Linked DNA regions of Mus musculus: all the other regions are reported to be linked to region 1. The links are microRNA targets in miRTarBase. Many come from high-throughput screens and were not tested one by one. Region 1 holds a microRNA gene; each other region holds the end of a gene's coding sequence.

Evidence for each region. The annotated mature microRNA mmu-miR-302b-3p reads UAAGUGCUUCCAUGUUUUAGUAG and lies in region 1 at 4,185-4,207, opposite strand. An mRNA with a match to its seed (bases 2 to 7 or 8) in the 3' UTR can be bound and repressed. Matches are read on the target gene's strand: a 7mer-m8 pairs with bases 2 to 8, a 7mer-A1 pairs with bases 2 to 7 and ends in A, and an 8mer does both.
Region 2: the mRNA of Pwwp2a is a reported target of mmu-miR-302b-3p. The part of its 3' UTR that is shown has no 7-base or 8-base seed match.
Region 3: miRTarBase lists Samd8 as a target of mmu-miR-302b-3p. Seed matches in the 3' UTR shown: 7mer-m8 at 4,003-4,009.
Region 4: miRTarBase lists Elf1 as a target of mmu-miR-302b-3p. Seed matches in the 3' UTR shown: 7mer-m8 at 5,527-5,533.

Annotation. Positions count from the first base shown.
Region 1 is chr3:127,542,482-127,549,481 of GRCm38, reverse strand. It overlaps Mir302b (microRNA 302b), which reads right to left and starts at 4,254; the gene lies at 4,181-4,254. It overlaps Larp7 (La ribonucleoprotein domain family, member 7), which reads left to right. Exons shown (of 13, transcript NM_138593.2): 2 at 1,936-2,120; 3 at 2,292-2,392; 4 at 2,478-2,561; 5 at 2,664-2,828; 6 at 2,913-3,006; 7 at 3,079-3,435; 8 at 3,512-3,656; 9 at 5,204-5,328; 10 at 6,326-6,450. The coding sequence starts at 1,937. Gm51018 (predicted gene, 51018) reads right to left here and starts at 4,393. Exons shown (of 2, transcript NR_146435.1): 1 at 4,336-4,393; 2 at 2,579-2,848. Mir302c (microRNA 302c) reads right to left here and starts at 4,119; the gene lies at 4,052-4,119. It also overlaps Mir302a, Mir302d and Mir367.
Region 2 is chr11:43,705,463-43,712,624 of GRCm38, reverse strand. Pwwp2a (PWWP domain containing 2A) reads right to left here. Exons shown (of 2, transcript NM_027557.1): 2 at 5,431-7,162. The coding sequence ends at 6,423. Among named protein-coding and RNA genes, the nearest start is that of Gm34963, 27 kb to the right of the region's middle.
Region 3 is chr14:21,792,768-21,799,929 of GRCm38, forward strand. Samd8 (sterile alpha motif domain containing 8) reads left to right here. Exons shown (of 6, transcript NM_026283.3): 6 at 170-5,959. The coding sequence ends at 474. Among named protein-coding and RNA genes, the nearest start is that of Gm23502, 16 kb to the right of the region's middle.
Region 4 is chr14:79,579,900-79,587,061 of GRCm38, reverse strand. It overlaps Elf1 (E74-like factor 1), which reads right to left. Exons shown (of 9, transcript NM_007920.4): 9 at 4,571-6,877. The coding sequence ends at 6,292. Among named protein-coding and RNA genes, the nearest start is that of Sugt1, 4.2 kb to the left of the region's middle.

The sequences.
Region 1 (7,000 bases):
CAAAAGTGTCTCACCTACAGGTTGAGAACCTCTGCCTTAGATGGTGGGCTTTGACAGGAAAAAGAACTAGAAAGCTGTAAGCCCGCCCATTATGATTAACAGTTAGCAGTGGAGCCTGCTCTGATCACTGAAGTCTGTATTTATATTTGTTTATACTCCACCACCTTAGAAAAGAACTTGAGATGCTTAATACCTTATTTTCATTATATAGGGCGAGACATTCACAGAGGCCCACCTGCCAGTGCCTCGTGGGTGCTGGGGCTTAGGTACCACCATGCCTAGCTACAGGGACTTTTAAATATATGTAACTACTTCACAAATACGTAGTGATTAAAGCCTTTGCCTCTATATTTGTATTATAGTGGGGTAGGTAGATAACAAAACTCTAATTCCAGATAGTGGTGAGCATTGAAAGAAAAGTCTAGGGGATAGTTCAGATTGGGATCCATGGGACTCTTGTAGGTTGGATGAAAGACAAAGCTCTCTTAAACAGTGGCATTCACAGATCTGGGTAAATAACCAAGCCAACCATACAGTCAATTACACACTTGACATGAGAGTGTGTGTGAGTATTAGGGAAAGAAACAGCAGGAAATTGACTATAATAAAACAGAGTAGAAGCCAGCTGACCTCTAGGGAAGATCTTGGAATAGTTCAAGTGAGATGTGATAATAACTTGGACCAAGTAGCTTATTAGAAATAAAAGGATTAATTGAGGATGTATTTTAAAGCCCGTGCTAGTCTGACTGCTGGTGAATTGAATTGACTGTAGAGTATGAGGAAGGGAGTGAGACTGCTTTCTGGTTTTACAGTTTTGTAGTTGGTATTTTGCAAAGAGGAAAAAAAATCTTAAATTTATAGAATTCTGTTTTTTTTTTTCAAACACAAAAGAGATTTATTTATTCCAGAGGGATAAAGAGCAGGGAATAAGAGATAAAGACAGGAGAAGGGATGAGGGAGAGGGGCTGGAATTCTGTTTTTGTCAGATAAAGTTTGCGATATCCTCTAAATGAACAAATGGAGATGTCAAGTGTGTAATTGACTGTTGGAATATGGAGCTAATGAGAGTGTGTATGTATGAGATAGAGAGCCCAGAATTGAATAGCCAGGACCCTCAGAGAGGATAGATGAGACAGGAGGCCAAGATAGGAGTTTAGTCACAGTTGGAAGTGTCCCTTTTCTGGAAGGATCCAGAAAAGGCAAACTTAAAGCCAGATGAAGAGGTCAGGTAACTGTTGGCATTAGGCAAACACTGAGCTCATTGGGGTTCCGCTTAAATGGTAGGAATGAAAGCCTGGAAGGATACGGTGAGTTGAAAACCTGAGATGAGATCCAGTATTCACCTATTTTTTAAAGACAAGTACACTGTAGCTGTCTTCAGACACGCCAGAAGAGGGCGGCAGATCCCCTTACAGATTATAGATGGTTGTGAGGCACCATGTGGTTGCTGGGAATTGAACTCAGGAGCAGTTCATCTCTCCAGCCCTCCCCCCCCCCCCATAGGGCTACAATGTACTTAATTAGTAATTATCAGGTAGAGGGTTTTTTTTTCCTCTTTTTTTTAATTAGGTATTTTCCTCGTTTACATTTCCAATGCTATCCCAAAAGTCCCCCATACCCACCCCCCCAATCCCCTACCCACCCACTCCCCCTTTTTGGCCTTGGCGTTCCCCTGTACTGGGGCATATAAAGTTTACAAGTCCAAAGGGCCTCTCTTTCCAGTGGTGGCTGACTAGGCCATCTTTTGAGGTAGAGGTTTTACTACTTGAATTTACTACAGAATTTGCACTTGCCTGACAGACCAGCTTTAAAAACATCCTTACTGATGTCAGTGAGATGGCGTCCTGCAGCAGGAATTCCTGCAGCAGGAAGGTTCAGGTGACAGGGGCATTTAGGCACTTTACAGTTTGGCATTTTTGTTTTTTCCCCTCTCAGAATGGAAACTGAAAACCAAAAAACTATGGAAGAAAGCACTAAGAGAAAAGAAGAAAAAAAGAAGCGCTCCCGGGTTAAACAGGTGCTTGCAGATATTGCTAAGCAGGTGGACTTCTGGTTTGGAGATGCAAACCTTCACAAGGACAAGTTTCTGCGAGAGCAAATTGAAAAGTCTAGAGATGGATGTAAGTTTTTTGTCTTTGTTGGAATTTCCAACTCACATTTATATGGGGCCAGAGCCTCCTGAGAGCTCAGTACTGTATATGTTCATGACACACAACTGCATGTTGAACTCGTGCTTGTTTGCACACATGTATATATTCCAGTGTTTAACATCCCACTATCCTATTTACTAGATGTGGACATTTCTCTCCTGGTGTCTTTTAACAAAATGAAGAAGCTGACAACTGATGGGAAGCTAATAGCCAGAGCATTGAAAAGCTCATCTGTTGTAGAGGTAAAAAACTTACATTTCAAGTCACCCACATCCAATTAACTACTGACTTTATTTAGCTTTCCTTTTTTTTTCCCCCCTCATAAAGTTGGACTTAGAAGGGACCAGAATCAGGAGGAAAAAACCCCTAGGTGAGAGACCAAAGGACGAGGAGGAACGCACGGTATATGTGGTAAGAAATGACACAAATTTTAATTCTAGTTCATTTATTTATAATTCATTTATTGGTAAAAATGTAGGAACTTTAAAATGTTCATACCATGATTTATTACAGGAGTTGCTCCCCAAAAATGTTACTCATAGCTGGATTGAGAGAGTATTTGGGAAATGTGGCAATGTGGTTTACATAAGTATTCCACATTACAAGTCTACTGGGGATCCTAAGGGATTTGCCTTTGTGGAATTTGAAACAAAAGAGCAAGCAGCAAAAGCCATTGAGGTACGTACTTCTGTGGGACCCTGAAAAGTAAAGAAAAAGCACAGGGTTAACAAGAGTAACAAATTCTGCAATCAATCTTTTCAGTTTCTGAACAACCCACCAGAAGAAGCACCTAGAAAGCCTGGTATATTTCCCAAGACAGTGAAAAACAAGCCCATCCCTTCCTTACGAGTAGCAGGTGAGTGCTTACTTAGAGTGGCCAAGTAAACAATAAACTATTATGACTGTAAATAATAAAATCTTGTTACAGAAGAGAAGAAAAAGAAGAAAAAGAAAAAAGGCAGAATAAAGAAGGAAGAGAGTGTGCAGGCCAAAGAGTCGGCCGTGGACAGCAGCAGCTCGGGCGTGTGTAAAGCCACGAAGAGACCAAGGACGGCCTCTGAGGGCTCCGAAGCAGAAACCCCGGAAGCTCCAAAGCAACCTGCAAAGAAAAAGAAGAAGCGGGACAAGGTGGAAGCATCCAGCTTACCTGAAGCCAGGGCAGGGAAGAGGGAGAGGTGCAGCGCCGAGGACGAAGACTGCCTCCCCCCAAGGCCAAAAGCTAAGAAAAGGGCTCAGAAGGATGGCGTCGGCCAAGCAGCTTCCGAGGTCTCCAAGGAGAGCAGAGGTACCGTGGCAGTAGGGTTACAAATGTTTTAACCAGTTTAACCACAACAACGGACTTACGGAAATCTTTTTTCTAGACTTAGAATTCTGCTCTACTGAGGAGGAGAAGGAGACAGACAGAAAAGGTGACTCACTCTCAAAGGTGAAGAGGAAGCATAAGAAGAAACACAAGGAGAGACATAAGATGGGCGAGGAGGTTATACCATTGAGAGTGCTGTCCAAGTAAGTGGCCACTGACACAGGTCCATCACCATTGCTAAAGTGCAATTCCAATTTCTATTCAACAGAGTTGCATGTTAGCAACAGTGACGGCCTTGGTCTATCTATATGCAGCACAATGAAGATTAAGTAGGAGCCACCACACTCAAACATGGAAGCACTTATTTTTAAATGCACAGCAAGTGCCTCCATGTTAAAGTAAAGGAGGCCCCTTAAGCAGACTTGAGTGGTCTTTACAAAGGCATGAATATAAAGGAAAACATACCATCACCAAAACATGGAAGCACTTACTTTCTTAGGTCTAAAGCAAGTACAACCACGTTTAAGTGGTGGGAAGCCCAGTCAATAACTCCCTTAACCTACAGCATCTTAGAGAAAATGTTGAACAGTTTAAGACACCCCCACTGAAACATGGAAGCACTTGCTTTTGTTTAACACAGCAGGTAACCCCATGTTAAAGCAGAGGGGACTCCCATCAGACTCTGAATTAAAAGGCTAGCTTTCTTATTCCAGAGTTTCTTGAATTCACTTCTACTAAAACATGGAAGCACTTACTCTTCGATGAGACAGAAAGCATTCCCATGTTAAAGTTGAAGGGAACCCACCCACAAGGCAACTAGTTAAAACAGAAGAGCAAACCCACAGGAAAGTAAAGTGACCCGGTTACAGACATAAGCTTTACCTCCTTTACCTTCGTGACCGCCTCCCAAAGAGTCCTGTTCTGTCCTCGGAGGGTGAAAGACGCCGACTTTAGACCACTTGTATTTATACTACTCCTAACTCCTGAGTTCCTTTTGGCTTTCTATCTCTGAGAATCATTACAAGACCCTTTGTTATTTTAATGTATCAGCTCTGGGGAAAGTAGGTCCTGGGGACCTGGGTAGGTCTGGATTTTTTTTTTTTTTTTCCTTTTTTGAAGTAAACAGATGTCAATGTTAACTGCTAAAACCATTACCACAAGATATCCTCCTCTTTAAAAAAAATCTCCTATCTGCCCGTTTGATGGCACAGATTAGGGTAACAATGAGCGCTCCCACAGAGCCAGGAGATGCATTGTGCTTCTCTGGAGGAGCCCTAGCTGTTTGAAGATACATCTACATGTTAAATGTATGTAAATAAATAAATTGCTTCCATGGGGTGTTTTTTTCTTCTTAGAAATTCCTTTTGATTCAAGTAAATCCTAAGGAATGTTAGCTCTCAAATTGGAAGCAATTTGAGAAATCTTTAAGTTTTAGTCTCTTACTTTTTCTCCAGGTTGCCTGATTTAGTGATTTTACTTAATAGAAGTGACTCAAAAGTGATTTTACAATTAAATATTAGAAGCAACCAGGAAACTCAAGCATTTTCCTTGCCTGTTAAGACAAAGAAACTTCCTTTGTGTGTTTGCTAGGTAGCTTTAACAAATGGCTTAACAAATAATGTAAACATATGCCTTAAAAGAAAGAAAAGTCAGAAAGACTTGCAGTTCCTATGAACATTGTGTTTAGATCAACTTCAGATTTCTAGTTGGGTCGTCTTATCACTGTAATGGCTCAATTTTTGTTTTTCAGGACTGAATGGATGGATTTGAAGAAAGAGTATTTGGCACTGCAAAAAGCTAGCATGGCTTCTCTAAAAAAAACAATATCTCAAATCAAATTGGAATCAGAAATGGAAACAGACTGTAAAGCGCCTAGTAAGTGTGCAGTGGGGAACGGAGAGGGTGACGCTCATGTAATGGAAGAGTGGGCTTTAGTCTATGAATGGTTTCAGGGGCAGTTTTATTGCAGTGATAGAGTGGCTTCCTCAGTTTTAAGCTGAACCATTTCCAAAAACAAAATGTTTTAAGAAAAGTAAAAATGTGAAGTTTTGTATTACACACTAGGTTTTAATAGTCTGTTTATTCTTCTCTACTTACCTGCGAGCTCACTTGTGAGTGCCTGGAGAGAGAAATAAAGACTGCAGGCTTAGTGGATGATGTTCAGCAAGCAGGAGCATATTAGAGCACTACTCTCGTTCATTGTAATATTAGTAAAGGTTTTAAGTTCTTGCAAATTATACAAATTCTCATATTTGAACAGTATACTTTGTGGCTGGAGAAATGGCTCAGTGGTTAAGCACACTGACTGCTCTTCCAGAGGTCCTGAGTTCAAGTCCTAGCAACCACATGGTGGGATCTGATACCCTATCCTGGAGTGTCTGAAGACAGCTGCAGCGTCCTCATAAATAAAATAAATAAACAAATTTTTTAAAAAATGAAATTGTTGAAGCCAGGCAGTGGTGGCTCATGCCTTTGATCCCAGCACTGGGGAGACAGAGGCAGGCGGATTTCTGAGTTCAAGGCCAGCCTGGTCTACAAAGTGAGTTCCAGGACAGCCAGGGCTATACAGAGAAACCCTGTCCCGAAAAACCAAAAAAAAAAAAAAAAAAGAATAGAATACTTTGAATAGTCTTATGTTCATATAGGCATACATCTTTATTAAGGCTTTATTCTTTGGTTTAGAGGTATAATGCCTTTTGTGCCATGTTGATTCCAATGGGCAGTGTGATTCCTTAATATTATTTACAATTCTGAGATCCTTAAACTAGCCTGAGAAGTCGCTGCTGCTGCTGCTGCTGCTGTTGTAGAATAGTGCTCCTCATGTGAAATGTCAGGAGTGGGAAGGTTACCTCTGGCTCCTTCCTCTTCACAGCAGCAGGCAGTGGTCAAGAGTGTTCCACCCAGGAGAAGGTCAGTGCACAAGGCCCACAGTTTGTGACTGGAGTGATTGTGAAGATTGTGAGCGGAGAGCCTCTACCGGGCAGGAAACAAGTCAAGGTAATATTTATGAACCCCATGTGAAATGTTTTCAAAATAGTATGGAAAACAAAGCAACTCCAGTCAGAATTTGTACCTTTCTGATAAACTACTTGTAGAGTCCATGGTAACACTGATAACTCTTAAGTTTACTCTAAATACCTAAATACCTTATTCCTCAGGAAATAAGGCCTAAGTACATCGAATAGCCTGTACACCTTTCTTTCTTGTTTCACTAATGGTTAGTGGCTGTGTAGTTCAGTGGAGAATGATATGGTGATTCTAACTTGGAGTTGTTGAAGTAATATGTATTCAATGTTATGCTTTGAAAGAGTTTTTCTGTTGATAAAGGTATTTGATTCCATATTTTGTTAGTTGGCAGGTTTTTTTCAAAATAGGCTTTCTCTGGGTAGCCCTGCTTGTCCTTGAACTCACTGTAGACCAAGCTATAATTGTCAATCCTAAATCCTATTAGCTTACATCTGAAAATATGGTAAAGGGGGCTGGAGAGATGGCTCAGTGGTTAAGAGCGCCGACTGCTCTTCCAGAGGTCCTGAGTTCAATTCCCAGC
Region 2 (7,162 bases), not on the chromosome of region 1:
TCAGTCTTACTGTACACCCTGGGCTAGCCTCAGATCAGGATCCTCCACACCAGCTTCTAAAAAAAAAATCTTACATGCGGGTTTAAACGAGAGACACCAATGAATGCAAAATATCTTGAACAGTTTGAAAGGACACCCTTGCTAAAATTTACTCTGCATTATAATTTTGATCCCCTCCCTCTGTGTCCCTGGCCATCCTAGAATGCCATCTGTAGAGCAGGGTAACCATCTGGCTCTGCTTCCTGAGATCTGGGTTAAAATCATGAGCCCCCACTGCCCAGCATGAGCTTTTTCTTTTCTAAGAAAGCCTACCCATAAAAGCCACACTCCAGGCCTACAGGCGCAGATGACAGGAGATAGAGAGGCAGAGACAAGAGGATGTCAAGCTTGAAGCCAGCCTAGGCTACATGAGACCTAGTCTCAAACAGCTGCAAAACTCGAACATATTTATACATACATGCACACTTATACATACAAGCATAGCGGGTGGGAGGGTGGCACTAATACTTTAGCCATGAAGGACTTGGCGTTCCTTTCCTTGCAGACATGGATACCAGTATAGAAATTATGAGGGTTTCCCTCTTTTTTAAGAGAGGATCCATGTAGCCCAAGCTGGTCTCAAACCTATTTACCCAACACTGACCTTCCTGATTGATCTTCCTTTTTACAAAATTTTTACAAAACATTGTGAAGATTGTCTTTACACTATGCCTTTAGAGCTGGGCACAGTGGTGCAGGTCTACAATCCTCACGCTTCAGAGGTCAGAAGTCAGTGTCCAATCCCCTGGACAGGCTGTTGTGAGCTGCCTGATGCTGAAGTGGATGCTGGGTACAGTACAGTTTGTACTTTCATCTGCTGACCCATCTGTCCAGCCTCCATTATTATCAAACTTATTAAAATGTCTCCTTTATTCACAAAAAAATTATCCAAGCAATTGCTACCATTGAAAGATTGTTGTACTCAATGTAGTTAAATTAATTCACCTAAAACTTTTACTAAGGGGCGGCTGGGCAGCTGTAGTCCTTAAGCATAAAACACTGTTAGTGCTGTTATCTAGAGTATGCTCCATACAGGACTGCAGGTACACAGCAAGGAATCCTGGAAGCAAACATTGTGGCCCCAATTCTCAGCAAATTTAAAACTCTATTAAAAACACTGATTATAAGTCACTTTTGTAATCCCAGCATTCGGGAGGCTAAAACAAGATTGTCCTGGGCTAGAAACCAGACTGGGTTAGAGTGACCTAGTTTCATAAAACCAATGGGGGAGCGGGAAGGAAAGCAAAGCAAAGCACCCATATTACAGATAGACAGTGGTATAGTACAGACTTAAAACAGACTTAACACCTTTAAAATGTACAACTGGGGGCTGAAGAGATGGCTCAGAGTTCCAAAAGCTTGCTGTTTTTTTTTTTAATATTTATTTATTTATTATATGTAAGTACACTGTAGCTGTCTTCAGACACTCCAGAAGAGGGCATCAGATTTCGTTACGGATGGTTGTGAGCCACCATGTGGTTGCTGGGATTTGAACTCGGGACCTTCAGAAGAGCAGTCGGCGCTCTTAACCACCGAGCCATTTCGCCAGCCCCAAAGCTTGCTGTTCTTATTTGTAGCACCTACATCAGGTGGCTCTCAATGACCTACAATGCCAGATTCAGGGAATCTAATCCCATCTTTTAGCCTCTGAAGGCATTTGTACATGTGGGCACGAGAGCACGCGCACACACACGCACACATACACATCACGTTTTTTTAATTGTACAATTAAAATTGATTTTAAGATAGTAGGCAAGGTCCAGCCTGGTCTACTTATCAAGGCTAGATAGTGTGACCCTGTCTATTTTTTAAAAAACATTTATTGACTGATTGATTCTGAGTACGCTGTAGCTGTCTTCAGACACACCAGAAGAGGGCATCAGATCCCATTACAGGTGGTTGTGAGCCACCTTGTGGTTGGTGGGAATTGAACTCAAGACCTCTGGAAGAGCAGTCAGTGCTCTTAATCACTGAGCCATTTCTCCAGCCCCTATCTATTTTGTTTTAAAGGCAAAGCTTTAAACTAGTTATGGTGGCACATGGCTATGATCCCAATACTGAGGGGCTGAGAGAGAAGGATTACTGCATGTCCAGCCAGCCTGACCCATACAACAAAATCCTCTAAAAAGCAAATACGCCCCCAAAATGGTTAAATTTTAGGCCATGTCTATTTAAGCATTCATAAAGTTACAATTCACTTTACTACGACAAAGATAATGTTGTTTGTTTTTAACTGAAGACACAGGGACAGTAAAGGAGTGACGCCCTTCTGAATATCACAGCGGGGTGTGCTACAACAGCCAGCACCACAGAGCCAAACTCAATGGTGTCCCTTTCGGAGGATAGATTAAACTTAGTATCAATTATCATGGCAAAAATAAAACCCAGATACTCTGCAAAAAGTCTAATAAAATCATTTACCACTGTGCAACCGTGGCTAAATGAAGGCCCGAGTACAGAAATGTCCACGCCCCGTGGAAGCGCAGTCAGCACCTTTCAAGTCAGAACCAGGGGAAAGTAGAAACAAAGATTGGCCGCTCACTCTCCTGGCACGGAATGGAACGGCTCCAACCCAGCTTTAGCTCTCAACTCCAGATTTTTCTATTAAAGTGTTAATAGCTATTAGCACAGCCCCAAAGCAAAAACTGAATTTGTCCCTCCTTAGAAAATGACCATCACTAACTGGCCAATTCCCTATTTGAAACCATCAGTGAACATAAACCTTTGAACTAAAACCTTCATTACAAGCTTTCTAGTATGTCAGTATGGCACTAGACTGTCAGTCCAAACTACAGAACATTCATAACTTAAATGGAGAAAAAAAAAGACCTAACTAAACATATACTATAAATTTCTGATTTTCTGATTCTCAATTCAGTCATTCAGTATAAAGGAAAACTGGCCACTTTCCAAATGTCTGAACATATGTTTCCTTCAATAACCAATAACTTTAGAAAGTAACAGCCTCTCTTAGTTGAATAAACTCCATACCCTAGATGGATCTAAGCTGATTTAAGTATCAATTCTATGTTGTCTGCCTACAATGTCTTCAGAAAAATTCCTGCTTAGTACTTGCTGCATGTAGTACTAAGCTACAATAATAGCAACCATTAACATTCTGTTTCCAGCCGTATGTGTTGGTGTAAGCCTGTAATACTAGCACAGAAGAGCTCAAGATCAGCCTGGGCTATAAGGGAAGATCCTGCTCCAAAAACTGAAAAAAGGCTGGGTGGTGGTGGCGCACGCCTTTAATCCCAGCACTCAGGAGGCAGAGGCAGGCGGATTTCTGAGTTCCAGGCCAGCCTGGTCTACAGAGTGAGTTCCAGGACAGCCAGGGCTACACAGAGAAACCCTGTCTCGAAAAACAAAAGCAACAACAACAACACAAAAAACAAAAACTGAAAACAAACAAACAAAAAAATATCAAAACCACTTAGGAGGAAACAGGGATAGATAAAAAATCTGTTAATAGAATGCCTGGCTAAAGTGAAAAAGGCCTGGATTCGGTCCTCATCATCATAGAAACTGGGTGTGTTGGAATCCCTGCATGAGAGGTGGAGAGATCAGAAGCTGAGGTGAACTGTAGGTAGGCTAGACTGCTATACTGGAAACAAAACACTTGGGGACACACCATTAAATCTGACTTTAGATAGTGAATCCTTTACAGGTCTTCTGTTCTGTGGGAATAAACTAGAATAGAAAACAGATTTCTTCTAAAAGACCAGTGCACTTGCTGATTTCTAAGCTCTACAAAATGAAGAAGGAAACATGAGGCTTTAAATTTCTAAAGATGCCATCCTGACAACTTATTTGTTTTCTGCACTTGCTCATCCTTGTCTTTTAGCTACTTTTCTTATATTGGAAATTTGTCTAAGTAAATTCTCTCAGAAAAGAGAAACCAAACCAAACAAGAAGAAAAAAGTCCATTTGGTTTATTATCGTACATACAGTACCTTTTATCTTCTCAGAGGAAACTCTGTTACAGTAGATAGCAAATGGTCACCTTGCTTGGAAAATTCTACTGGGATATCTTTAAAAATAGTATCTCACTATGTGGCCCTGGCTGGTCTAGATAGAATTCCATAGATCAGATCGGCCTCAATCTCAGAGAACATGCTAGGGCTAAAGGCATGTACCAGCACACAGAGCCAAATATTCCTTTGTTCATTTTCTGGACAAGAATTCATTATGTGCCCTGGTCAATCTCTAAGTCACTCAACCCTCTTGCATCCACCTCTCAAATGATAGGATCACTAGAACATGCCATCACTCCTGGCTGAATGTTATTTATATACTCCACAATCACAGATTGTATTTTCCCATGTAGCTTCTGAAATAGGACAAATGGTTTATGCCATAAAGATACATTGCCAAAGTGTCTGACTGTATTAGCAACACCCACTTTCAAAGTCACAACTACAACAGCCCAGATCACACACTTCACATTACTTTTTAGATGACTCTCGCATAAATCAGTTTTTCAAAAGGTAAACAAACAAGTACTCTAATCTAAAACAGTTACTCAGAAAACCTAGGATATTTCCCTCATAAGCCCTTCATCACACTGTGAGCTTTCAGACTGTCATAATCAGATTAGTTTCTGTTTGCAGGAAAGAATATGTATCTTTTTCTTTGTGTGTTTATTAAAATCAAAAAGCATTGACTAAGTTCCCCAGAAGAAATTCTATTTTCTTTCCCAGAAATAATCAGGTATCAAGCTTAAGGAAGTTCATTTCCAAATTTCATTATCTTTATTATTAATTATGTAGTAACTAACATATCTCACACTGGATTATTTTAGAAATCCATAAAAGTTTACCTTTTTGTATCTCAAGTAAGTACTAACTGAAACTATATCAAATTTAAGAAAACAAAAGGCTTGGAAGCAACTTAATTCTCGAGATCACCTTGCCTCTGCGGGCACTCAGGAGGCAGAAGCAGGCAAGGCTCTGAGCTTGAAATCAGCCTGGCCAGCCAAAGTGACATAGCGAGACTCTTAAAAAATAACATCTTAGGGACAGGTAGACCATGTAGAATATGGAGTTAGATTACTAAGCCCATAAAGCAGTGATATCTGAGGCAGGAGACCAGAGAGCAAACCAACTACAATTACCTAATTTTTTAAAGCATGACAATTTATCAAAGCTAAAACTGAGGGGAAAAAATGAAAAGCATTCATGAGCAGTTGATAGGAACTAGAGTTCTACCGGATGGTATTACTATAGAGCCTCACTGTACCTCCTGTTATTTGAATTTTATTTATTCTCCAATACATCCCTGACAGGGCAAACAAAAATGTTTAATTTCTCATGTTTTCTAACCACTATTGCAAAGAAAAATTTCTACTATTTTGAAACTGTTCAAAGCTTTTTGAGAAACACACACAAATAATTTGGATTTAGTTGATTTTATTTACAGCTTTTTTTTTTTTACATTTCAATGCATTATACAATCACATTTCTCATTTTCTGACCTGCAAACAGATTACCTTAAATGGAAAATGCTTCTGAAAAACTATCAAATTAGGTACATCCAAAATGCAACAATTACACATGACATTAATTCACAAAGTGTAAATTGCTAGGGTCTGTCCTAAGAATTTAGGAACAGCCAGTCAGGAGAAATCTGACTAACTTTTCACTCAATTATTTATATACCCCAAATAAAATCTATCTAAACTTCCCACCAAATATCTGACAGTTTGTTTTACAACCTCACTGGACAAGAGAGTACTGACCCAAACCTGTCTAGTCTTAATAGTTTTAATCCCAAATACTGGCAATGTGTACAGCCTGGTCTATAACTAAACAGCAAGCATACCAATTTGTCATAGCAAGCATCTCAGTGTGTCAAACATCCAATATCAAACTTTTATACCCTATGTGCATAGAAAGTCTAAGTTTTCACTAGATAAAACAAGTAATCATTGAATATCCACTGTTCCCCAAGTTCCAGCCCTTACTAAAATCTCAAATATGCAACCCATGTCACATGGTGACAGACAATAGTTTATACATGTGGATGTGTGTGTATGTATGTCTAGGTGTGCATACCTAGACATACATATACACACAAACAATAGCTACAAATGGCAATTAACAGTCCCTGCAAAAATTGTTTCATTTGAAGCTATGGCTTCTATGCCTTAGGGTGGTTTTAGATTTTAAAACTGGAAAATATTCCTAAAATCCTACTTAAGAGAAAATTTGAAACATCTTTCAGTTTTCAGCTTCTTAGTGTAAAAATGGCTATATATAACGTATAAAAAGCCAACTGAGTGCAATTTCTCACCAGTTTGGCCAAGCTAGCTGGTGGAAATGATTCCTGACTAGCCAGGGACCTGCAGCAGCTCCAGTGGTTCTCGCCTACCTTACTGTCCATGTTCACGTTTCAAATTGTGTCAACAAAGCCCGCACTTCAGGGGTCAGCTGCTTAGCAGCCTTAGCAGCCTCTGTGATAGCCCTGCGATACAGACCCTTTCTCTTCTTATTAAACCGTAACTGGAAGTTTTCTAGAAAGGGGGAGAGTTGTGAGAGAGCAAGGGAAGATGTGGTTGGAGATGCAAACCATGAGATACGGGCCTCCTGCCGGGCTAAAAGGCCGTTATCTTTCCGGCTTACAGTGATGGTAAGAATACGGGCTGGCCACCAAGGGAAGCCATATATCTTGGCCCAAACAATGTCCCCTACACATATGGTCCTGCCATCTGGTGTGATACATTTAGAGACATTTTTTGAAAAGATTTTCATTTTCAAAGAATTACGGAGGCTATTCTCTTCCTTTGAAGAGAAGGAAGTAGAAGTGGAAGAGGCAGAAGGTGCGTGCATACAGCCGGGAGGAAAAACGAAGCTCTCAGAAGAGCTACACTCAGAGTTGGAGGATTTCAAATCATCCATGCTATCAATGCTACACACTGAGGCACTGGAAGAGTCAGATGTCTCCTGATTTAGGGTCAGGTAAACAGAGATACTGCTTTTGCTGCCCTTTTTGCCCAACATCCGCAGTTCCTCCTGCTCACCAGGCACACGCACTCTGCTTGTGTCCTGAACCTCACCGGCGGACTCTTCCGGGCCTTCTGAGGGACTCGGTTTTTCTGAAGGGGCCTCACCTGCTGAGCGGGTGG
Region 3 (7,162 bases), not on the chromosome of region 1:
CAGCTACACATCCAGGTCAGCAGCCTGGGCCACATGAGACAGAGCTGAAATAAAGGGTGTGGGGCAGAGGTTAGGGGAGCAGAAGCTTAGAGCCTACCCTGAGAAACGTGGCTAAGAAGCTTGGCAGGAATGTGTTATTAAATAAATGGTCCTTCTGTCCTTTTCCTAGATACACCAAGAAGCTGGAATTTCTTGCACACTCTATCCTGGGTTCTCAACCTCTTTGGAATCTTCTTCATCTTGGCTGCCCATGAACATTATTCCATTGATGTGTTTATTGCCTTTTATATCACAACAAGACTCTTTTTGTACTACCATACTCTGGCTAACACCAGAGCGTATCATCAGAGTAGGAGAGCGAGGATTTGGTTCCCTATGTTTTCTTTCTTTGAATGCAATGTTAATGGCACAGTACCTAATGAATATTGTTGGCCATTTTCTAAACCAGCAATAATGAAAAGACTAATTGGATGAAGACTCTCTCTCTGTAATGAGTTTGTTGTTAAATATACAGTAGTTATGGAATGAAAATGAATACTTTGTCCCAGGCTCCTGGATACGTTGCATTTGGCTTCTGTGTTGACAGGTTTCCCGTTCTGAGAAAGGCCGTGACTGTAAAACTCAAGAAAGAACACACAAGACTCCTTATTAGCTGTTTGAATGGAGAGGTCATGGAAAGAGTTTCCGCCCCTCACTGTAGGAAGACCCAGCGTGGGGTGATGTCAGGCCGATACCTGTGCATGCTGAGTGTTTGCTTACGGAACTCAAGCACATCAGCTTGGGCTGGTTGAAGAATTGTTACTGATTCCCAGTAGGACTCAAGTCAAGAATATTTCTGAAGCTGGCTTTCCTTACCTAGTGAGCCGTTCTCATGTGTTCATTGAACTAATCTGTGTCTGTCTGCAAAGTGAGTGTCTTACTGGTAAATATGTTTTACCTTTTGAGCCATTTGAAAGAAAAACACATTGAACACAGCAGAAACAAAAGAATGCGGGGGGCACCGTGTGAGGTGACACGCTCGCTGATCAGGTGTCGCCGGCCTCCCACTAATGCAGGGGTCAGCATTTCAGAGCAGGTGCAGCGTCAGTTGCTGTCCCTTTCTGTTCGGAAGCTTCAGTGTGAACAACAGAAAGGGCTCCTGAGGGGAGGTGGCTGTGTTCCTGTAGTGCTGTAAGTCCCCGGACTAAATACTTGTTGTAACTGTTAGTTAGGCAGATGACAGCCCAATATACTGCTTTTTAATAATGTGACTTAAGTGAACACATGAGTGTTTTACCAGATGTTAGAGTTCTTACATCAGTGAGTGAGTAAATGTGCATGCAGAGAATTCTTTTCTTCTGGAAAAAAACAAAACAGAACAGAACAAGCTGTAGGCGCAGTGCTAATTCTCGGGGTGGGGGTGGGGGTGGGGTCCTCTTTTTGTTGTTGTTTTTCCCTGAAAGTTCTCATTCCCGACCATGGAAAGTACACAGTCTGAGACATGGGTGGATAGAAAAAGGCTTCTTACTTTTTATTTTAAAAAAATTATATACATATGTTCTTTCTAGAGTCTTAATTTGGCAGTTAAGAACTAAATACTTTAGCTGCTGTTTACCTTCAGTAATTACTGTCACCTCTCCGATACCATTTGTCACTTTATTTTCTATTGGTTGTACATAACAGTTTTAACCTGGTTGTAGAATTGGAATACTAATTGTATAGTCTTTACGTTCCATTTTCAAACAAGGACTCAAGAGCTGCAGGCAGGCGCACTGCAGTCTCACGCAGGCCACAGCCGGCGTTTATTCCTCTGTCTCGGCGGCTGAATGGTCATTTTTGCAGTTGGAGTCATAGTCCCACCTCTTGGAAGCCACTGAGTGGATTAGGCAGGAAGGGGGTTTGTCTAATAGACAAACGGGCCTCCCCCGTGCTGAGAACCCCTGCTCTGAGGAGGCTGGAGACAGCGCTCATTTCTCACCTGAGAGATGAGGTAAAGCAATCAAAATCAAGTTCAATTATGTTTTTAAATCTTGTACTTCAAAATCCTTGCAGTATTTTAAATTATTGATTCTATTACAAGCCAGGATCAAAAACGCCAATATCTTATCTAAAGAAACGTCCTAATCCTGGAGAAAAGGTTTGCTATGCTTGTTTGAGTAGCTTGACTTAGGGCCAAGGGATATATTACTGCCACCCCCTCTTATTACTCCCCTGCCCCCCACAGAGCAGGATCCAATTTACCTGGGGGGAGGGGGAGAGACAGTGTTGGCTTTTGGGAAAATGTTCCAAAAATGCGTGTCTACATTAGTTTTAAGATGCTAACTATATTAATGGTAAATATCTTAACATCAGGCTTCTCTCCTCCATATGGGTTCTATCATAGAACACAATAGGAAACAGGTGCAGCTGGCGTTGCCCTTGCCAAGCTATTGATGGTGAGAGTGCCTGACAGCAGCCTGCTGTACGGATTGAGTGGCCTTGGGTCACTCCTGTTTGTTTGGAGGAAAAAGATAAGCTAGATGTATAGCCTAGTAGCTACTATAAGACAGTGTTTACAGAGCTAATCCTCTTCAAGTCTCAAAACTGAGACAACATTAGTTTTCAGGTTTTGTCCTCACATCTTTTTCCTTACTAAAACCTAACCATAATGAAGATAGAATTTATGTTTACATTTTGGGCATGATGTGGCTGCGTGCAGTCTCCACGCTTTTGAACCCCGTATTTGATTCTGCAGTCGTGTGAGACTTTTCTCCTTGACAGCTTAGTACAGAAGCAAGGAAAGGTTTTGAGTTCTTGGGGGTGCAAAGGAAGAATTGCCTACATTCTAATCCCAGTGTCGCTGCCCTCCCTGTGGTGTTAAGCCCAGGGCTGTGTGTGCGAGGCAAGTGCTCTCGGCTTTTACAGTGCAAACAGGATCTACTGAAAGGTAGACATGCTGGGTGGAAAGGAACGAGCTCCTATGGAACATAAGCTTGCTCTCACCACCACATAGTTTTGGCAGAAACCTTTGTGTTACACTTCCCAACGAGGCCAGAGTTGCTGTGGCAAAAATAACCTTTCTAAAGCAATGGGCTTCATCTTAGAACCAGTCAATTTAAATAACGTGAGCTGTAACCAAGAAAACCCACACTTCCAATAGCGTAACATTGACACTGTAAGTGGTGACCAGCCCCATTCTACCTGCCTGTTAGGACTGAGAATTCCAAAACTCTGTAAGTTATAAGTGGGGAACAGGGGTGCTGGATCCTTCTATAGCAGAGAGCAAGTAGTCTTTCAGGAACATTTGTGCAAAAGTGTTTGGTTGTTTGTTGGGGGGGGGGGGTTCTTTGTTTTTGTTTTTGTTTTATTTTGTTTTGTTTTTTCAGAGACAGGGTTTCTCTAATTCAGGGATCACCTGTCTTTGCCTCCCATGCTGGGATTAAAGGTGTACACCACCACACACATCTTTTTGTAAAACTTAATTCGTATAAATTCAGATTTGTGGCAAAAATGTATCTTCTTTATATTCAGCAAAAAGAAATTTTATCATTGAAAGATTCTAGATCCAAAATGCTTAACAATGTTTACAATATTCTTGACTTAAACTCTCTGATTTAGTACACTCAATTATTTGATGGTCTTGTGGATAGAAATCCCATAGCAAAAGCAGACAGTATAGTCGCCCTCTCAGCTGACAGACTTAGGAGACAAGAACGGTCTTTAGAATAGTCCACTTGCTTTCCTTCAGACAGCGTGAAAGCAGAAAGCATGTCAGGGGTTTTTGTTGTTGTTTTTTTGTTTTCTTTTTTTTTTTTTTTTTTTTGGTTTGGTTTGGTTTGGGTTTTTTGTTATTGTTGGTTGTGGGTTTTGTTTTTGTTTTCATTTTAAACAAGCTTATGTAAATAAGATGCTTGACTTGAAGGGAAAACTATCTAAGATCATTTTGTTCAAGAGTAATTTATTCCCTAAAGACATGTAACAGCTTCAAAAAAAATATAAAAATTGTCCTTGAAGCTGGGCATGGTGGAGCACGCCTTTAATCCCAGCACTTGGTAGGCAGAGGCAGGCGGATTTCTGAGTTCAAGGCCAGCCTGGTCTACAGAGTGAGTTCCAGGACAGCCAAGGCTACACAGAGAAACCCTGTCTCAAAAAACCAAAAAAAAAAAAAAATTGTCCTTGGTTTTGCAATGATAAATGAAAATCATTAAAATTCTCCAATTGAACAAGGCATGCAAGGATTTGGTGGTGTTGTGTTCTTTTGTTAAAACAATGAGAGCAAAATAACTTACTGAAATATAAAGATGAGAGCTGAATGAGCATGCCACCAATGGAGAAGGGGTATTTTCACAGACCCAGTACTTTCCCCCAGACCATCTCCATCTGATGCCAACCAGAACAGAACATTGGCCATTTCGTTTAAAAAAAGGAAAAGAAAGAGAGAGCACTATGCGTGTGCACATACACCAGTTACTTTTTGTACAATAAAGAAATGGGGACAGGGAAATGAAAGAAGAGAAAACTATACTGTGTAGTCAGGATGTGGCGGGACCAAACTGTGGCTTTTTAATTGAGAATGTATTCTTGGTCTATAACAAATTCTGGAGTAAAGTAGCAGGCTCCCTTTTTAAGTAGACACCTCCAGTCTGCTGCTGGAACACATACATCGATCTTTATTCTCCACTGATTGGTTGCCCATCGAACCGGAATCTGATCTGCCTCATTGACAAACCCTGCCGTTCACAATAGGCTTTCATTAGTTTACTAAGTGGTATATGCCTCTTAACCTTACACTGCACCACAGAACCATCCTGTCCCGCCACCTTCAAATTAATATGATCATTGTTCTCAGTCTTGACTCCTTCCTTGGGTTTCTCGTCAGCCATGGCAAGTGCAGGAGTCTCCTTGTGGCCTTCGCTGTCCTGGAACTCAGACATTTTTCTGCCTCTGTCTTTGCCTCTGCCTCTGCCTCCCAAGTTGCTGGGATTAAAGGCAAGCATCACCACTTACTGCCTAGCAAGCATGTCAGGGTTTTTTTTTGTTTTGTTTTTGTTTGTTTTTTTGAGACAGGGTTTCTCTGTATAGCCCTGACTGTCCTGAAACTCACAAGCATATCAGGTTTAATGGCAACTTTACATAACAGTTTGTGTTTATTAAAAAGTGAGATTAGTCCCAGTCACCCCTATTACCTCTGCAGCTGAGGATTAAAGTACCATCAGAGATGCTTCAGGCTACTGGATGGAAAGAGAAAGGGTTTTGTTTGTTTGTTCTCCTTATGAATAGCTTTAAATGACTAAAATTACTGTAAAAGTAGGTGTTGGTTTGCCTGTAGATTCAGTGGCACTGATTTTACATAACTAATATGATGAATTACTGTATCAAGTTCAGTACAAAGGTCTGTGAACTCTAAGCTATTTCTCCAGCTACACTAAGTTGTTTTTGAGGATACATTCTACACTGTGTTAATCAAAGGACTCTTTATTCTGTGAATTTCCCATCTTGGCATAAGGAAGCTTTGTGCTTTGATGGGAGAAGGAATATTCTATTGTTTGTTTTCTTTTTTCCATTGTTACTTCACATCTCTTTTAATCTGAACTAGTGGATTGTCTGAAGAACCAAACCGAGCCTATTGTTATTAACATCTTTAAAATGTTTAATTTTAATAATTTTTCATTGAATTCATGGATTGTTGGGATAATGAAGTATTTGTGATGTGGAACAAAGGAAATGAAATTGGTACTCAGTGGGGAAGCAGGTTGCTTGGACTAAGCCAGGCATGTTCAGTTTTGAGAATTCTACCTAAAGGTCTCCCTGCCCACAGAGAAACTAGTGTTACTTGAAGACATGAAAATCCCTGTGGTAGCCAGACCTTGAAGCACAGTGTTGTAATAAGTAAATACCTGATTCTAAATTAAATTCAGATTTAACTAATATATATTATTTTATAACTTTGTTGTATTAAAATGTTTTAAACACTAAAAAATAAAGCATTTGAAAGTTGGTATGTGGCTTGTTATAACCCTTGCACTATTAACATAGTGCGCCTTTATGTCTCAGACAGAGTCTTGCTGTGTGTGGTCTGCTCTCAAGCCTGTGTGCCTCCTGCCTTTGACTTGCTGTCCTCCTGCACCAGCCTCCGTGTTAGAATGGCAGGGTTTTTTCCCCAAATGGTTAAACACTGCAGCTTTAGGAAGGAAAATGGGAGGGAAGGAAGAAAAGAATTTAAATTGCATTTCACAGTACACACATGGAGGTCAGTAGACAACTCTGGTCACTGTTGTGTCTCAGGGGTTGAACTGGAGTTGTCAGGATTGGTGGTAGCCCTGTGCATTTACCTATTGTGTATTTACCTACAAACACTTACTATGCATTTACTGCTGCACAGCAGCTTTAAAGCTGTAGGGTGTAATGTGTGGCATTTACTAACTCTCAGGTAATTGTCTGTTTCACGATAGGAAGCTGAGCAGAGGAAAGGCTGGCAGAGAGCACGTGTCTAGCATGTGTGAGGCCTTGGTTTGATCATCAGCACAAAAAAGAAACAGACAGACAGTTGAAAATGGAGGTAAGAAGATTAGAATTCAAGGCCTGCTTTTGCTGCATAGCAAGTTGGAGGTCATCCAGAGCTTTATGAGACCCCAGATCTTAAATACAAGATGTACACTTATCCCAGTACTTCAGAGATGGTGCTAAGAGGAGGACCAGGGTCATCCTGAGCTAGGTATCTGTGTCAAGGCCAGCCTGGGATACATGAGACCCTTTCTTTTCCCCACACCCCATCTCAAAAGGGTCTCGCTGCGTAGTCTTCTTAGTTGACCTACACTAGAACTACAGAGATCCATCTGCCTCTGACTCCCAGTGCTGGGATCAAAGGCTGCACCACCACACCCCCTAAGACCCTTTCTCAAATCAAAACCTTACTGAACATATCAGGGCTCTGCTATAAGCTAAATCCCCAGTCCCTAAAGTATGTGTTTGTTTGATGTTGGTTTAATTGTAGATTGCATGAGAAGATGGCCAGGCTGTTAGATAGGCTTTGGAAAATAATGAACAAGGAAAAGAAGATAAAGAGTTGTTCAGGCCATGGCAGCTTCTAACTATGGCTTAATCGAGATGCTAAGCATATAACTGAATACTCTTAACCTATGGCTGAACTTGTCCACTTGATCTCTACCTCCACAGTACTGGCCTTGTCTTTTGGACACTTAGT
Region 4 (7,162 bases), not on the chromosome of region 1:
CGCCGTCCTTAGAGCCAAACATCACACTAGGAAGTTTCCTGCGAATTCTTTGAAACTGAGTGGTAAGGGGCAACAGGAGGGAGTGGCAGTTATAGGTTCACCAAACTTGATTTAAAAGCTCTTGATAACGCTCAGTAACTCGTTTTACCAAGTCTGTTTTAGTAGGTGAAATGATTGAAGTGGTCGTTGGCTTCCTCAAACAAGATATATATAAGACCTCAGTCTGGAAACATGACAGTCCACGAAGAAAAAGAAATTACAGTTCAGGCATTTGTGTACATATCCCCACTGTTAAACTCGCCCACTTTTCTGAGTTCTAACTTTAAAAGACCTAAGTTTTGTCTTCCCCACTTTTCTAGCACGTTTTCCATACTGGCCAAACGCCTAGTTGTGCTTGCTAGCTATCGTGGGTATTATAATTTTTTGTTACAACCTCAACCTACCAATCAATCACCCCTTGCAGATGCAAAAAATAACGGTGGGAGGACGTTTGAAAATACAGAGAAACTTGAGCCCATATTCAAGATGGAGAAACGGAGGTTACAAAGATTTAAGTATGTATGGGGTCATCAAGAGATGGAAGTGTGGAATACTACAAAGTTTAAAGTGTAACACATTTGCCACCTGTAGGTATATCCCATCTGTATTGTAAATGGGTTGTTTGAAGGGGGGGGGGGGTCGAGCCGGGGCGGGGAAGGGCTGATAGAAGATAACAGGTCCCAGAAAGGAATCTGAATCCACTTGTGGGAAAGGAGAAGTAGGTGGGAGAGACACTTGAGGCAGACCAGGGCCAGCTGGCCACTAAACTCAAAGAGGTGCAGGTTTCAGGTTTTAGTAAGTACTGAGAAGATCAAATTAGCTCAACTAAACTGAAGCTAAGCAGATCTGTAAGGGAAGGTAGAGAGCATCGTTTTGGATCTTTCCATTCAAGGTTGTTTTCCGTTTCTGTGAACCCTGCAGAAACTAGACTGTAAAAGAACAGATGCATAACGATGAGGAGTGTCTTCTGCATAATGTCTTTAAAGGAAATGTTAGTTTTGTTCCGTTTGCAGTTCTTTGCATGGCTGGGTGTGACTTCCTTCTTGGATGCATTTATTGCAGACACCTTGTGCCAGTTGGCATCTCTTAATATCGTCTGAAACAAGTTTTCACACAGATCAATTTATAATCATTTCTTTTTTAAAAATATTTTTATTACGTATTTTCCTCAGTTACATTTCCAATGCTATCCCAAAAGTCCCCCATACCCTCCCCCCCACTCCCCTACACACCCATTCCCACTTTTTGGCCCTGGCGTTCCCCTGTACTGGGGCATATAAAGTTTGCGTGTCCAATGGGCCTCTCTTTCCAGTGATGGCCAACTAGACCATCTTTTGATACATATGGAGCTAGAGTCAAGAGCTCTGGGGTACTGGTTAGTTCATAATGTTGTTGCACCTACAGGGTTGCAGATCTCTTTAGCTCCTTGGATACTTTCTCTAGCTCCTCCATTGGGGGCCCTGTGATCCATCCAATAGCTGACTGTGAGCATCCACTTATGTGTTTGCTAGGCCCCGGCCTAGTCTCACAAGAGACAGCTATATCAGGGTCCTTTCAGCAAACGCTTGCTAGTGTATGCAATGGTGTCAGCGTTTGGAGGCTAATTATGGGATGGATCCCTGGATATGGCAGTCTCTAGATGGTCCATCCTTTTGTCTCAGCTCCAAACTTTGTCCTGTAACTCCTTCCATGGGTGATTGTTTCCAATTCTAAGAAGGGGCAAAGTGTCCACACTTTGGTCTTCGTTCTTCTTCAGTTTATAATCATTTCTTTTGTGCCATGTGTAAGACTCTCTCTACTCAAAGGCTCTTGAAACATTTCTTTTAGATCGCTCACTTTCCACATTTAAGTCTATTGTTTACTCTGACAACTTTTTTGAAAGTATAACAAGGGATAAAAGTCCATTATTTTATTCTCCATACAGATACCAACTAACCCAACCCCACTTACTGAAAAAAAAAAATCATTTCCCCTTAAACTTGATGGCAACTTCATTGCTTTATTCAAAATTCAAGGCATCTTTGGAAATGGAATTGCCAGGCTTACCGGCAAATTCATTTTGAGTTTTCTAGAGTCTAAAACTGTAGTTTCTGTGCCTACTAAATGATCCAGTCTTAAGTAGTTTTATTATAGTGGCACAAATGAATTGCTATCTTCCTGTTCAGTGTAAAGCTCTACTGACCCAAGTTAAAAGATTTGGTTTAGGGTCTGGTGAGTTGGCTCAGCAGATAATTGTATTTGTTACACAAGCCTAGAGAACCGAGTTTGCTCCCAGGTACTTAGGTAAAGGTGGAAGGGGAGAACCAACTCCACAAAGATGCTCTTGGACCCCTCTCCCTCTCCCTCCCCTCTCACACACTAACAAAATTTAGTTTAGCTGGGCTTGGTGACACATACTTTTAATCTCTAGTTGTGAGTCTGAGACAGGGATTGCCAAGAGTGCAAGGTCAGCTTGGGTTAAATAATGATTCAAAGTCAGACAGAGCTATACATTGAGAGCCCCCCTTGGGGGAGAAAACTTTTCTGCAAGCTATTTATAGTATTCTAATATTATATACCTACAAAATTTCATTAGTAGGCTGGAGAGATGACTCAGAGGTTAAGAGCACTGGCTGTTCTCCCAGGGAATCAGAGGTTCGATCCCCACACCCACCCACCCATCTGGCAGCTCATACACATCTGTTAGTCTTCGGGTATCCAACACCTCCAGGCTTCAAGAGGCACTTCACAAATGTGGCTCCTTAGGGTTTCTACTGCTGTGACAAAACGCCATGGTCAGAAAGCAAGTTAAGGAGGAAAGGGTTTCTTTTACTTCCACATTGCTGTTTCTCATGAAGGTAAAGTCAGGCCAGGAACCTGATGCAGAGGCCACAGATAGATGCTGCTTACTAGCTTGCTCCCATGGCTTGTTCATCCTGCCTTATAGAACCCAGGGCCACCTGCCCAGGGATAGTACCACCCACATTAGGCTGGGCTCTCTCCCATTGATCACGAGTTGAGAAAATGCCCTACCGCTGGATCTCAAAAAGGCATTTCCTCAACTGAGGCTCCCTTCTCTGTGATGACTCTAGCTTGTGTCAAGTTGACACAAAACCAGCCAGTACATACATACATACATACATACATACATACATACATACACACACACACACACACACACACACACACACTCTCTCTCTCTCTCTCTCTCTCTCTCTCTCTCTCTCTCTCTCTCTCTCTCTCTCGGGGACAAACAGGTGGTTTGAATGAGAATGGCCCCATAGTCTCAGATTTGAATGCTTGGTCACTAGGGAGTGGCACTATTTGAAAAACAAAAAGATTAGGATTGGGAGGTGAGGCCTAGTTGGAGGAAATGTGTCTGTGGGGATGGGTTTTGAGATTTTAAGAGCCAAAGCCGGGGCCAGGGTCCCTTCCTGCGGCCTTCCAATCTGGATATAGAACTCTCAGCTACCATATCTGTCTGTCTGTTGCCATGCTTTCTACCATGAGGATAACAGACTAATCCTCTGACAGTGTTTAAAAAATAAATGTTTTCTTTTTTAAGAGTTACCATGATCATGCTGTCTCTTCACAGCAATAGAAACTCAATACACACATACACATTCAATGATGCTTAAAGGTTATGTATCAGTCCTGACACATGCCTTAAATCTCAAGACGTGGGAGGCAAAAGCAAGTGGATTCTCTGAATTCAAAGCCACCCAGAGGTGCACAGTGAGAGAGACTTTGTATCAACACAAATGCACATGCACACATACTCACAAATGGGTACGAATATGTGAAAAATGACTAAGTTTACCAATAAGAGAGTAGGGACATGCCATGGTACTGAGATTTTTGTTTTCTTGAATTTTTCTTTTTCCAAGTTTAGCAATTACTAAGAAAGCCTGTTTTAGAGCTGGGGATATGGCTCAGTGAGAGTAACCACTTACTATGTAAGCCCCACGGCCTGAATCCGGATCCCTAGGACCCAGGAAGTGCTGAAAGCAGCAGCCCAGGGCCTAGAGGACCCACCTCAGACAGGATACAGGACCCACAGCCAGTGCTATGCTCTCTTCTCTACTGTGTTCCTGCATGTATATTCAGACATTTAAAAGCTGACTTAGAGCCACAGCTACTATACCACAAGTTTATTTTCTCTTTGGCTTTCTAAGACAGAGTCTCATTTACACAGAAACTCATTTCAGTATGTGTGTGTTCTTGGAGCAGTATTTACCAGAGAGTAACAAGACTATGCAAGCCTTAAAGTCTGAAGTTGACCCTCGAAACCAATGGTGGAAGAAAAGAGCCAGCTCCCAAATGTTGTTGTGTGTCCCCTCAGGCATGCACATGCATGTGCACACAGTATAAGAACATGTTGTGTGTCCCCTCAGGCATGCACATGCATGTGCACACAGTATAAGAACATGGCCAGGTATGGTTGATGCATGTGCCTTTTACTCAAGAGTCTGAGGCACGATAATCACTAGTTCTAGGACAGCACAGTGTGTCTTGTGTCAAAAAGCAAAAGAATTACAAACAAGAAATATTTGCTTGAAAACAGAAATATTGAGAACTTTTACATGATTTAATAATAACAATTAAAGATACAAAAATGTTTAGAGGATTCCAAAATTTAAATTTTTGTTTAAATACAAATTCATTTCATAATATGAAAACATATAATATTATACCCCTAAACACAATAATTTTTCTTCTACAAAACTTTCTATACTAGAGAATTTGCAGAAAACAATTTCTTGTGACATTAAATATACATTATTTACATTGAAAAAGTAATCTAAAAACTCTACTTCGGAAACTTGGATATATATCTTTGTATGCAACTTCCCCTCCCCTTCACCCACAGTAAAAAATGATCCAAATAAAAAACAGTTATGCTTTTATAATAAGTGACACAGCTATACTAGCTCAGGACTCCCATTGCTTCTTTGGCCCTCAGAGCCCTGATGCTCTTAGAATAGCAGTCTCTCATTTAGCCCTCAGCTTACTACTAAGCCACAGTTTTAGTAACTGTGGTCTGAAGATTAATGAGCAGAGAACTTAGGAAGAATTTATGGCAGACCTGATAGTAATTTTGTGAGGAAAATATTTTTAAGCAGTATTTTACCTTTACATAAGGAGATAATCTGGTAATATTTGAAATAATTTTAAAGTACAGATAATAAAATCCTAAAATTTATAATAAGGAAACTTTTAGATCATTTTGTCTAGTCCAATGCATCCCTTCATTTTACCAGAATAGCACAGACTAGCAGGTGAAATGTCCTGTCCAGGGTTACACACCTAGGAGATGGAGTGGCCTACCCAGGGTTACACACCTAGCTAGTGGAAGTGTCACAAGTGTTGCCTTTATAATATCACATTTCTTTTTTTATTTGTTTGTTTGTTTTGAGACAGGGTTTCTGTATAGCCCTGGCTGTCCTGGAACTCACTCTGTAGACCAGGCTGGCCTCAAACTCAGAAATTCACCTGCGTCTGCCTCCCAAGTGCTGGGATTAAAGGCGTGTGCCACCACGCCCGGCTACATCACATTTCTTAAACTCAGGTTCAGACATTATCATAGGCACACTTAAATATTTTTGTTGTTGTTTTGGATTTTTTTGGGAAGGTTACATGTAGCCCAGGCTGGCTTCAAACTCACTATATAGCTAAGGCTGGCCTTGAACTCCTGATTGCCCTTTGTCCTCCTCCCAGTGCTGGAATTACACATATATGCCAATATACTGAGCATATACACTTCAATTTATAATGATAGTTTACAAATTCGTAGTATATTCATAGTATAACAGTCCAGCCAACTTTAAAGTCAAGCTAAGTGACATCGCAACAATTTTAATAGTATAAGTTTCTTGCATCTGAAAGAGCTAAGACTTAAATTATACAAGTGGAATGAAAATGTTTCCTATATAAATTTCCTGTTGTCTTATATTTAAGTAGTATTTTCAAACAATTCAGGAAGCTAGTACAGTGTCAAGCTAGAAAAGAAACTTTTAAAATATGATATAGCAACTGAAAAACAGTCAAGAATTTCTTCATCGTCTAAACCTCCTGCTCCTTCACAACTGAGTTCTGAGACATTCAGAGGAGACACACACTTGGGTTCGCCTCCTTATCTAGCAAAGTCAAAAGTAACTTTTTAACAGTTAAGAACTTCTGTGGATTTCATCTTAGAAAAAAATCATGTTATGGTCAGACAACCGAAAAATGAGTTCAATTAAAAAAATACCCACCCATAATTCCTTTGGTGTATTAAAAAGAGTTGGGCTCTAGCAGTTCATTCTGTTTGACGGCTACCTGAGAGGAAAACCCGTTTGAACTGGATAACACCATCACATAAGGCTGGGGCTGCTGGGCACTTTTCTCAGCATCTTCATTCAAATCATCTTCGGCCTTTTTCTCCACCTCTTGCTTAAGAGTTTTTGTTTCCTGAGCTTTGATAACAGAAGTGATCACAGTGCCCGGTGGGTGTGCGACCAGCTGTGAACTCCGAGAGAAAGTCACCACAGGTGTCGTCGCGCTGAACGATGGTGCGGATGCCACACTGCCCGCTCCATTGCAAATGGACTGAACATTGCTTGTGAGGACCTGCTGTACTTGGGTGGGGCTGAGGACAATTGAAGGAGAGCCTGGCTTCTGTGACTGTAGCATGACATTTTCTTTCAGTACTGTCATGGGCTGTGACGATGGAATGGTTTGTAAAATGAATTTCTGAGACCCAGCACCTGATGATGGGTCTATGCTGGCTATAACCGTTGTGAGTGGCACTGTTACTGTATGTAACTGTTGGTTGCCAGGAGACACCACTACTGGAACCTGGGTTGAAGCCTGTATAGTCCTATTGAGATCAACAAACAGAAGTGATACAGTTAGCAAATGGAACATCCTTTAAAGCTTTAATACTTTACAAGTCACTCTTAAAAGTGCATTCCGTTGCTACTTCTCTTATTTTTATCACAGCATAATTAACATGCCAAACATCGTTCTATACATTATACAGGCTTGGTGTGGTACCAGCACACACCTATAATGGACATACTCAGGAGGCAGAGGCAGTTCGGGGCCAGCCAAAGCTACATAGAAAGCTCATGTTTCAGATGGACGATCTGTACACACCACCACA